Callithrix jacchus: one gene and its partner. The main gene of each other region encodes a partner of the protein of the gene in region 2 in a complex. Links are inferred from orthologs where the notes say so. Each region holds a gene or a part of one and is shown on either strand. Other genes may lie near its edges.

Evidence for each region.
Region 1: the proteins of SKP1 (region 2) and BTRC are in contact, whole or in part, in a crystal structure (PDB 1P22), measured with the Homo sapiens proteins. The link is inferred for Callithrix jacchus from reciprocal best matches to the Homo sapiens genes SKP1 and BTRC. Residues at the interface, in NP_733779.1 of Homo sapiens: Asn51, Ala53, Ile54, Val95, Asp96, Gln97, Gly98, Thr99, Leu100, Phe101, Ile104, Leu105, Asn108, Leu116, Asp117, Cys120, Lys121, Val123, Ala124, Ile127, Lys128, Gly129, Pro132, Ile135, Arg136, Lys137, Thr138, Phe139, Asn140, Ile141; in NP_378663.1 of Homo sapiens: Met175, Leu176, Gln177, Arg178, Asp179, Phe180, Ala183, Leu184, Arg187, Leu189, His191, Ile192, Ile196, Leu197, Tyr199, Leu200, Asp201, Ser204, Cys206, Ala207, Ala208, Glu209, Leu210, Val211, Cys212, Lys213, Glu214, Trp215, Tyr216, Arg269.

Annotation. Positions count from the first base shown.
Region 1 is NC_133513.1:94,483,040-94,487,401, forward strand, and holds part of BTRC (F-box/WD repeat-containing protein 1A), read left to right. Parts: intron 1-1,399; coding exon 1,400-1,496; intron 1,497-2,461; coding exon 2,462-2,599; intron 2,600-3,111; coding exon 3,112-3,230; intron 3,231-4,362. UniProt on the Homo sapiens protein: Substrate recognition component of a SCF (SKP1-CUL1-F-box protein) E3 ubiquitin-protein ligase complex which mediates the ubiquitination and subsequent proteasomal degradation of target proteins. Recognizes and binds to phosphorylated target proteins.
Region 2 is NC_133503.1:74,176,169-74,180,530, reverse strand, and holds part of SKP1 (S-phase kinase-associated protein 1), read right to left. Parts: intron 1,948-4,362; coding exon 1,807-1,947; intron 826-1,806; coding exon 790-825; 3' UTR 764-789; exon of another isoform or gene 1-763. UniProt on the Homo sapiens protein: Essential component of the SCF (SKP1-CUL1-F-box protein) ubiquitin ligase complex, which mediates the ubiquitination of proteins involved in cell cycle progression, signal transduction and transcription.

The sequences.
Region 1 (4,362 bases), on a different chromosome or scaffold from region 2:
CAAACAATTAATTACATCGTAATGGAGCTATAGAGGGAGGAGTGGATGACTGGCCCTGAGAAAACGTGATTTCTCTGGTGCCAGGATTACACTCAGAGGCATTTCTGTCTATCTCCACTTTGCAAGGCACGGTGCCAGTGAGAACAGCAGTTAGTACACCCATAGTGGGGTTTACTAGCTTCCACACCGTGTTTGGTGGGTTCTTAACTTCAGGATGAGGAATTAAATTTTTTACCCAGCAGGAAGTGATTGCCATTTACTGATTTTTTTTGTAGCAAAGATCTAGCTTGGGATATGAGTATTCCAGAGATGTGCTGTCATAAGGAAGGAGATACTAACAAATGCTGCTCACTGGAATCAGGGAAGGCAGTTAAGTACATGTATGTATGTACACAGCCAGGAACACACCTGTGAAAGTCAGTTTCATGCCTTAGACTTGATAGCACAGTGCTCTTAGGCATTTCTATTTATCTTCTTCCCTAGCTGCCACTGGACACACCTGTGATCCTTTTGCTTTCTGTTGAAATGAACTGAATTGCTCATTTCAAAGAATAGTTGCACTGATCAGCAGCAGCCTGGGTGACTGAGCAGCCACCACATCTTACCCCACACAAATAAAGACCTAGAAGAAGTGATCTCCATTACAGGCATTACTGTTGTCTGCAATGCAGGGGTCCACTGACATAGTTAAAAAAAAAGACTATGGGGTATGTGCTAGTTCAAAGGTAATAGTTACCATTACCAACAAAATTTCCAAAAGATGAGGCCAGTGAATCTATGCAGTAGTCTTAATAGACCAGTAGATGAATTCTGATTATACATATTCCATTTGTCTACTCATAATATTCCTAAAGGTTTGGTACTCCAATGTTCTACACTGGAAATAATGTTTTACCCAAAAGCAAATCAATGTTAGGCAGATTCCTTAGATACCAGAAGGCTGAAATCAAGATTACTTTTGGACCTCCCCAGGCAGCTTTGGAGAGTATATAGGATGGTAACTGTGAAAACACTTTGAAAATGTATGAAGCTCCTTACATATATGTTGGCTGGGCATGGTAGCTCATGCCTGTAATCCCAGCACTTTGGGAGGCCAAGCGGGCGGATCATTTGAGGCCTGGAGTTTAAGACCAGCCTGACCAACGTGGTGAAACCCCATCTCTACTGAAATACAAAAATTAGCCGGGCTTGGTAGTAAACGCCTGTAATTGCAGCTACCAGGAGGCTGAGGCAGGAGAATTGCTTGAACCCAGGAGGTGGAGGTTGCAGTGAGTCAACATCACACTGCTGCACTGCAGCCTGGGCAACAGAGCAAGACTCTGTCTCAAAAAATAAATAAATAAGTAAATATTTAATGTCATGATTTTCATTGGGAAATATTTTTTTTTTTTTTTTTTAGGGGACAGTATTTATTCAAAAACAAACCTCCTGATGGGAATACTCCTCCCAACTCTTTTTATAGAGCACTTTATCCTAAAATTATACAAGACATTGAGGTAAGAATCTGTGTATTTTGGGGTATTTTCCAAATGGTACATCTTTCTTCAGTTGCAGTATGGTTACACCAAGCCCATTAAGGTTTATTGACGTGAGTTGAAAATCAACCTCTTGGCTGGCGTGGTGGCTCACGCCTGTAATCCCGGCACTTTGGGAGGTCAAGGCAGGTGGATCACCTAAAGTCAGGAGTTCGAGACCAGCCAGGCTAACATGATGAGACGCCATCTCTACTAAAAATACAAAAACTAGCCAGGCATGGTGGCACACATCTGTAACCCCAGCTACTCAGAAGGCTGAGGTAGGAGAATTGATTGAACCTGGGAGGCAGATGTTGCAGTGAGCCAAGATCCTGCCACTGCACTTCAGCTTGAATGACAGAGTGAGACTTTGTCTCAGAAAAAAACAGAAAGAAAAAGAAAATCAATTTCTTTATAGTTAAGTAGGGTAGGTAAAATAAATTGCTAGGCAAAATTTTAAAGCTTTAAAAAATTGTTTACTAATAGATGAAAGAGAATTAAAGAGATTGATCCCTTCATATAATAGCAGTGTGACTGGGAAACTAGTACCCATAAGCTCATATTTAAATATCTTCTGAATTCAGCCGCCATAGAAGTTCATCGGTAGTGATGGCCATCGCATATGTAAGAGCACTGAACATATAACCTCACATAGTTCATAGCTTTTCTTCTCTTGATGAGTCATCTCTTCCCACCAGATTTATTATTTAATTGAACAAATGATATGCAGGAGGGGGTTCTAGAAAAAATCTTTAATTACCTTGCAAAAGGAAAAATACTTTATAAATTTAGATAGTAGCTTTTTTAATAGATATTTTTTAGTTTTCCCTAAGCGATGTATCTCCCACAGAGTAAAGCATTAAGTCATTGATTGCCATTAAAGCCCAAAAAGGGTTTGGTTTTAGGCGTTTCCTAATTACTGCCTCTTTACCTTTCTGTCTTCTCAGACAATAGAATCTAATTGGAGATGTGGAAGACATAGTTTACAGAGAATCCACTGCCGAAGTGAAACAAGCAAAGGAGTTTACTGTTTACAGTATGATGATCAGAAAATAGTAAGCGGCCTTCGAGACAACACAATCAAGGTGAGGTCTGTTCAGTTGTAGGAAGGTAGCTGAGGGAGCAAGGGTGACCACATTCATAACACAGTCCACAGCATAAACTCTAAGCATTATTTCTAGAAAGTAAGTGAAGATTTTAGATTGTTTCCAGTCCCAAAGCCAAAATCATTTCCTTAAAGGACAGACATCTGCTTCCCCCTAGAATACTATACAAATAGGAAGTCTCTAGGGTTAAATTCTCTTCTTGAAATGAACTGAATGGGCTATTACTCTTTTGGCCCTCACATAATTATAGGCTACTCTGTTCTCTAATTAAAAGGATAAAGGTTTGTATTAGTACTGAAGCCGTATATGTATGTATGTATGTGTGTGTGTGCGCGCATGCGCGCGCGCTTAGCTATACTTATAGGAAAGAATGCATTCCACACTACTATGGGCTTTGATTATTTTGGGAGATCAAATACATAATAGGACCAACAAGTCTCCACAGCACCCCATCATGACATTGATCAAAAGGATCTTATTTGCCATCCTAGATCTGGGATAAAAACACATTGGAATGCAAGCGAATTCTCACAGGCCATACAGGTTCTGTCCTGTGTCTCCAGTATGATGAAAGAGTGATCATAACCGGATCATCGGATTCCACAGTCAGGTAGAAAATTTCAAATGCTCTTTTGAACTTTGAAACATCAGCTCTGCTCTGTTCTTTGTCATAGATAGTAATTTTGTATATATCGGCACAGTTCTGAAACTAAAGAAGAATATACCACCGAGTCCCCATCATTTGTGTCAGTCTAGAACTAGAAAACTTGATTTAGGAATGCTTGAGGTAAGTTAACATTTTCGCACGTTTAAGAAACTACACATTCTATTTTAATTTGGAGAATCATCTATCACAGAAACTTTTCTTATCCTTATGGTAAGGCTTGCATTATAAAAACCACCTCACAGGGGAATGACATGAATGTAATGAAGCCGTCCTTTTAGGTGGTTGTAACTGTAGTGCAGGTCTGTATTATCTCCTTTGAAACATGTACAGGTGAGCTGTGCTCTTTGTCAGCTCCTCCCCTGCCGTCCCTGCAGTTTTTAATTGCGAGCTTCACTCAGGGAGGGGCCCTCAATTTCCAGAGGCGTTAGTGATTTGATGACACAGCCATTATACTGCTGGAGTCCAGGATAGCTTGAGTTCTGGGTACCAGCAGCACTGCTGGGAACTTCTGTTAGGAATTTTGCCTTAAGCTGAAGTATTTAGCAAACATAATGCATCAAAAGTAACTTTAAAAAAAAATAAACCTAGGAAAAAAAGCAGTTAACTGCATTGTTCGATACTCTGAAGTTAAATGTTTACCATTCCAAGTTATCCTCTGTGAATAGAAAAGACTGTTTGTGGTTTTTGTCTTTTGACTTAAAGGCATAGCAAACTCGGTCCGTGTAATTATTGACATTTAACATTTATTGGTGCTTGTGGAGCAAGTGCCTCACTGAATCTGAAATACTGTAGATGCTAACATCATTTATAAGATAAAGAAAAAATGATATTCCATAAAAGGGGGCTAAACTGGAAAAAGGAAATAACATGTTATAAAACCCAAAGTAAATACACAAAAATAGAATAATCAAATATGTCATCACACAAAATTCCCAAGCTATCCAGTGGCCCCACACTCTTCTGTGAAGCCTGTATTTACAATGAGAGGGCTATTTTAAACCTGTACCCACTTCAAAGCACAGAAATGGGGGGCTTATAATTAAGAGTTGTGGTTATCTTGGCCTTTGACCTCTAT
Region 2 (4,362 bases):
GTTAAAAGTTAAATTATTTTTACATGCAAGTAGTGTGAATAATTTTCCCCACATGGGAACACTGATTATAAAAAGATGACATCCCACATAGGTTAAGTGTCTTTAATTGAAAAGCTAACAAACTGTCCAGTTACATTTCTCCCAAAAAACCACAAACTGTGTAGTAACTGAGTCTCTAGGCAATATATTTAAAGCTAAGAGGATTAAAAATAAAATTAAAGAAAAAGAAGACAAGTCCTCAGATGCAATGAAGGGAGGAGCCCTGCTAAATACAGGCTAATCAATATGGTGGTACTCCTTGCCTGCAGGAGGCTGAAAGACATCCTAGTAACTCCACTCAGAACATTTACTTCAAGAAGCCTTTTGCAGTTTCCAACTCATGAATAAAGATAATATTTTGTTAATTCTATTCCAGATAACTTTTTTGCAGGTTGTTTTATTTACAATGCCAACTTTTAAAAGGTCACTAAAGTTAACTGGACAATAAACTAGGCAGACACTGCTTTACAAAAAAGAGGGAAAGCCCAAAATGCCACTTATAGAGAACCCACAGTTCAGTTTTATTCAGAGCAAAGAAAAAAGAAACTTTCAATCATATTAGAAGAAACTCAGCCATAGATTTGGAATCTGTACTCAAACTACACATGCAATGAGGACAATATTCTGCTAATACAATTTACTTACTGCTGCATTTGTCTACTGTTTGTCTAATATTAACAATTATAAACAGAGCAGTGCAACTAGTACTTGGAACGATCCTTACAGTGTTACAGTGTCAGGCACAACATTTCACTTCTCTTCACACCACTGGTTCTCTTTGCGTACCTAAAAGAGATGGATATAAGGAAGTACCTTAACTTTAGTAGTGTTTCCTAAGACTTAAATATACTACCTACTGATTCATCGATAGCCAGTGAGTCAGTAGAATAGATGGAAAATCAGAACACCAGACTGAGACTACACTTCTGGATTTCCTTTTTTTGCCTCCCAAGGTTTTTATTCTGCCCTGCTGAAATTCTGAACAAAATAAAGACAATGGGCAGTTTACTAAAGTTGACAGAGCAAATTCAGTTAGTTAACTGACACAATTTCAGTCTGTAGTCATGTCAACAAAATCATTCTGATCTATTTTTTCATTTCCTCCCCTCATTAAGTTGCTCTCAAGTGCCCTAGCATACACTTCTCTAGGGCCTGCTTTTCTGAAGTCAGATATGTATGGTCTATACAAAAAGCTGCAGATGCCAGAACTAGTAACTGTTAACACATTTACAAGAAAGAGCTCCTCTTGTTGAAAACTAATTGTTCTTATGCTTAAAAATGCAGTATCGGCCGGGCGCAGTGACTCACGCCTGTAATCCCAGCAGTTTGGGAGGCCGAGGTGGGTGTATCACGAGGTCAAGAGATGGAGACCATCCTGGTCAACATGGTGAAACCCTGTCTCTACTACAAATACAAAAATTAGCTGGGCATGGTCGCACGAGCCTGTAATCCCAGCTACTCAGGAGGCTGAGGCAGGAGAATTGTCTGAACCTATGAGGCGGAGGTTGCGGTAAGCCGAGATCGCGCCATTGCACTTCAGCCTGGGTAATAAGAGCAAAACTCCATCTCAAAAAAAAAAATGCAGTATCATGTAAGTGTTTAGACTCATACAGACAGTACAGTAAGAGTATGTTTAAGACACAGAAACTACCTAGTATCCCTCAAGTATCAAGACTACTTGATACAGTCACCTCTTTTCTGGTGTATTACAGGCTTTAGTCCCTTTTTAAGAGCATGCGATCAGAGACAAAACTGTGTGCCACCTACCTGGGCTTCCTCCTCTTCAGTAAAGTCATTTTTGATATTGAAGGTCTTGCGAATCTCCTCAGGAGTTTTCCCCTTGATCATATTGGCAACAGTCTTGCATGTAACATCAAGCAAACCTTTGATGTCTAAGTAGTTTGCAGCCTGTAAAGAGATAGTTGTTTTCCTTAAAGTATACTTGATGTTTTAAACTAAATCTAAAGTTAATGATTGAAACTCCATGTCTAATAAAGCTTAAAATGATAATTTTATTAAAGGGAGAAGAATAAATCACTCATAAGTTCCTCCATGAAAGACTTTTATGTGACCTTTGTTACATCTCTATGATGCTGAATCCTTCTGCTTCCTTAACCAAACTGTATTAGCTCAAATGTTAATGGCCACTACTGTTGTGTATGTGTGTACAGACACACATCAGATCTTGACAAATACCACATCAGATCTTGACAAAAATATTTGTCCACACTTAAAGAGTTCAATAAGCAGTTATAGCATTATATTTAGTGATCTGATTTTTAAAAACAGGTTTTGGTTTCACTGACTTTATTACCTATTTTCTATTTCACTGATTTCTGCCCTTATATATTCTAATTCTTCTGTTTGCTTTGTATTTAATTTCATCTTTTACTAGTTTCTTAAGGTGGAAGCTTAGATCACTGATTTGAAACTTTTCTTTTCTAATAATATAGGTATTTCATGCTATCAATTTCCCTCTAAGTATTTCTTTTGCTGCATCTCACAGATTTTTCATGTGTTTTATTTCTATTCAGCTCAAAATACAAATTCTTTTTATTTCTTCTTTGACTTACAGGTTATTTGCAAATGTGTTAGTTTTAAAGAAGCTGCAGATTTTTCCAGTTACCTTTCTGTTTGTGATTTCTAGTTCCATTGCAGAGAACATACTTTGTATGGCGTAAATCCTTTTATGATAGAGATTTTTCTTTTTGAGACACCGTCTCACTCTGTCACCCGGCTGGAGTTCAGTGGTGCAATCTCGGCTCACTGCAACGTCTGCCTCCCAGGTTCAAGCGATTCTCCTGCCTCAGTTTCCCAAGTAGCTGGAATTATAGGTGTGTGACACCACACCCAGCTAATTCAGGGGTTTCATCATATTGACCAGGCTGGTCTCAAACTGCTGGCCTCAAGTGATCCACATGCCTCGACCTCCCAAAGTATTGGGATTACAGGTGTGAGCCACTGTTCCAGGCTGAGACTTGTTTTATGGCCCAGAACACGGTCTATCTTGGTAATATACACTTGAAAAGGATATGTATTCTGCTATCGTTACATATAATGTTTTAGGCCAGGCACAGTGGCTCACACCTGTAATCCCAACACTTTGGGAGGCCAAGGCAGGTGGATAACCTGAAGTCAGGAGTTCGAGACCAACCTGACCAATGTGGTGAAAGCCCGTCTCTACTAAAAATACAAAAAATTAGCTGGGCATGGTGGCAGGTGGCTGTAATCTCAGCTATTCAGGAGGCTGAGGCAGGAGAATCACTTATCTCGGGAGGAGAGGTTGCAGTGAGCAGAGACTGCACCACTGCACTCCAGACTGGGTGATGAGTGAGACTGTCTCAAACAGATACATAATATATAGATATAGATAGATAAAATGTTTTATAAATGTCCATTAAGTTGGTCAATAGTGTTATATCAAGTTATCATGATTTCTGTCTACTTGTTATATTAATTGAGAGAGGTACTGAAAGCTCTATGACTGCAAATTTGTGGACTTCTTTGAGTTCTTCTGGGTTTTGTTTCACTTCTTGAAATTCTTCTAGGCAAATAAACATTTATGATTGTTATGTCTTCTTAAAAAATGGATCCCCTTAACGATACAAAATAATCCCCTTTAACCCTAGTAATATTCTTTGCCTCCACATCTATTTTAACATAGTCACTCCAGCTTTCTTTTGATTCATGTCAGTATAGTTTACCTTCTTTCATTCTTTAAACCTAGGTGTGTCTATTTCCTTAAAGTGGGTTTCTTACAGACAGCATAGCTAATCTTGCTTTTTTGATCTGTTAATTTCTGCCTTTTAACTGTGTTTAGACCATTTACATTTAGTGTGTTACTGATATGTGGATTTAAATATGGCATTACATTTTAATTCAGAGTATTAAAATTCAGTGTCAATGAAGTTAGCAAATTTTAAATCTGTAAGAAGTAATATTTAAAGGCTCTGGAATAGAGCTATTTTATATGTTAAAAAAAACTTACCAGATGCCAGGCATGGTGGCTCATGCCCATAATCCCAGCACTTTGGGAGGCTGAGGCAGGTGGATCACAAGGTCAAGAGATTGAGACCAGCCTGACCAACATGGTGAAACCCCATCTCTACTTAAAAATACAAAAATTAGCTAAGCACGGTGGCACACACCTGTAATCCCAGCTACTTGGGAGGTGGAGTGAACTGCTTAAACCTGGGAGGCAGAGTTTGCAGGGAGCCGAGAACACACCACTGCACTCTAGCCTGGGCGACAGAGCGAGACTCCGTCTCAAAAAAAAACAAGGCCGGGTGCGGTGGCTCACGCCTATAATCCCAGCACTTTGGA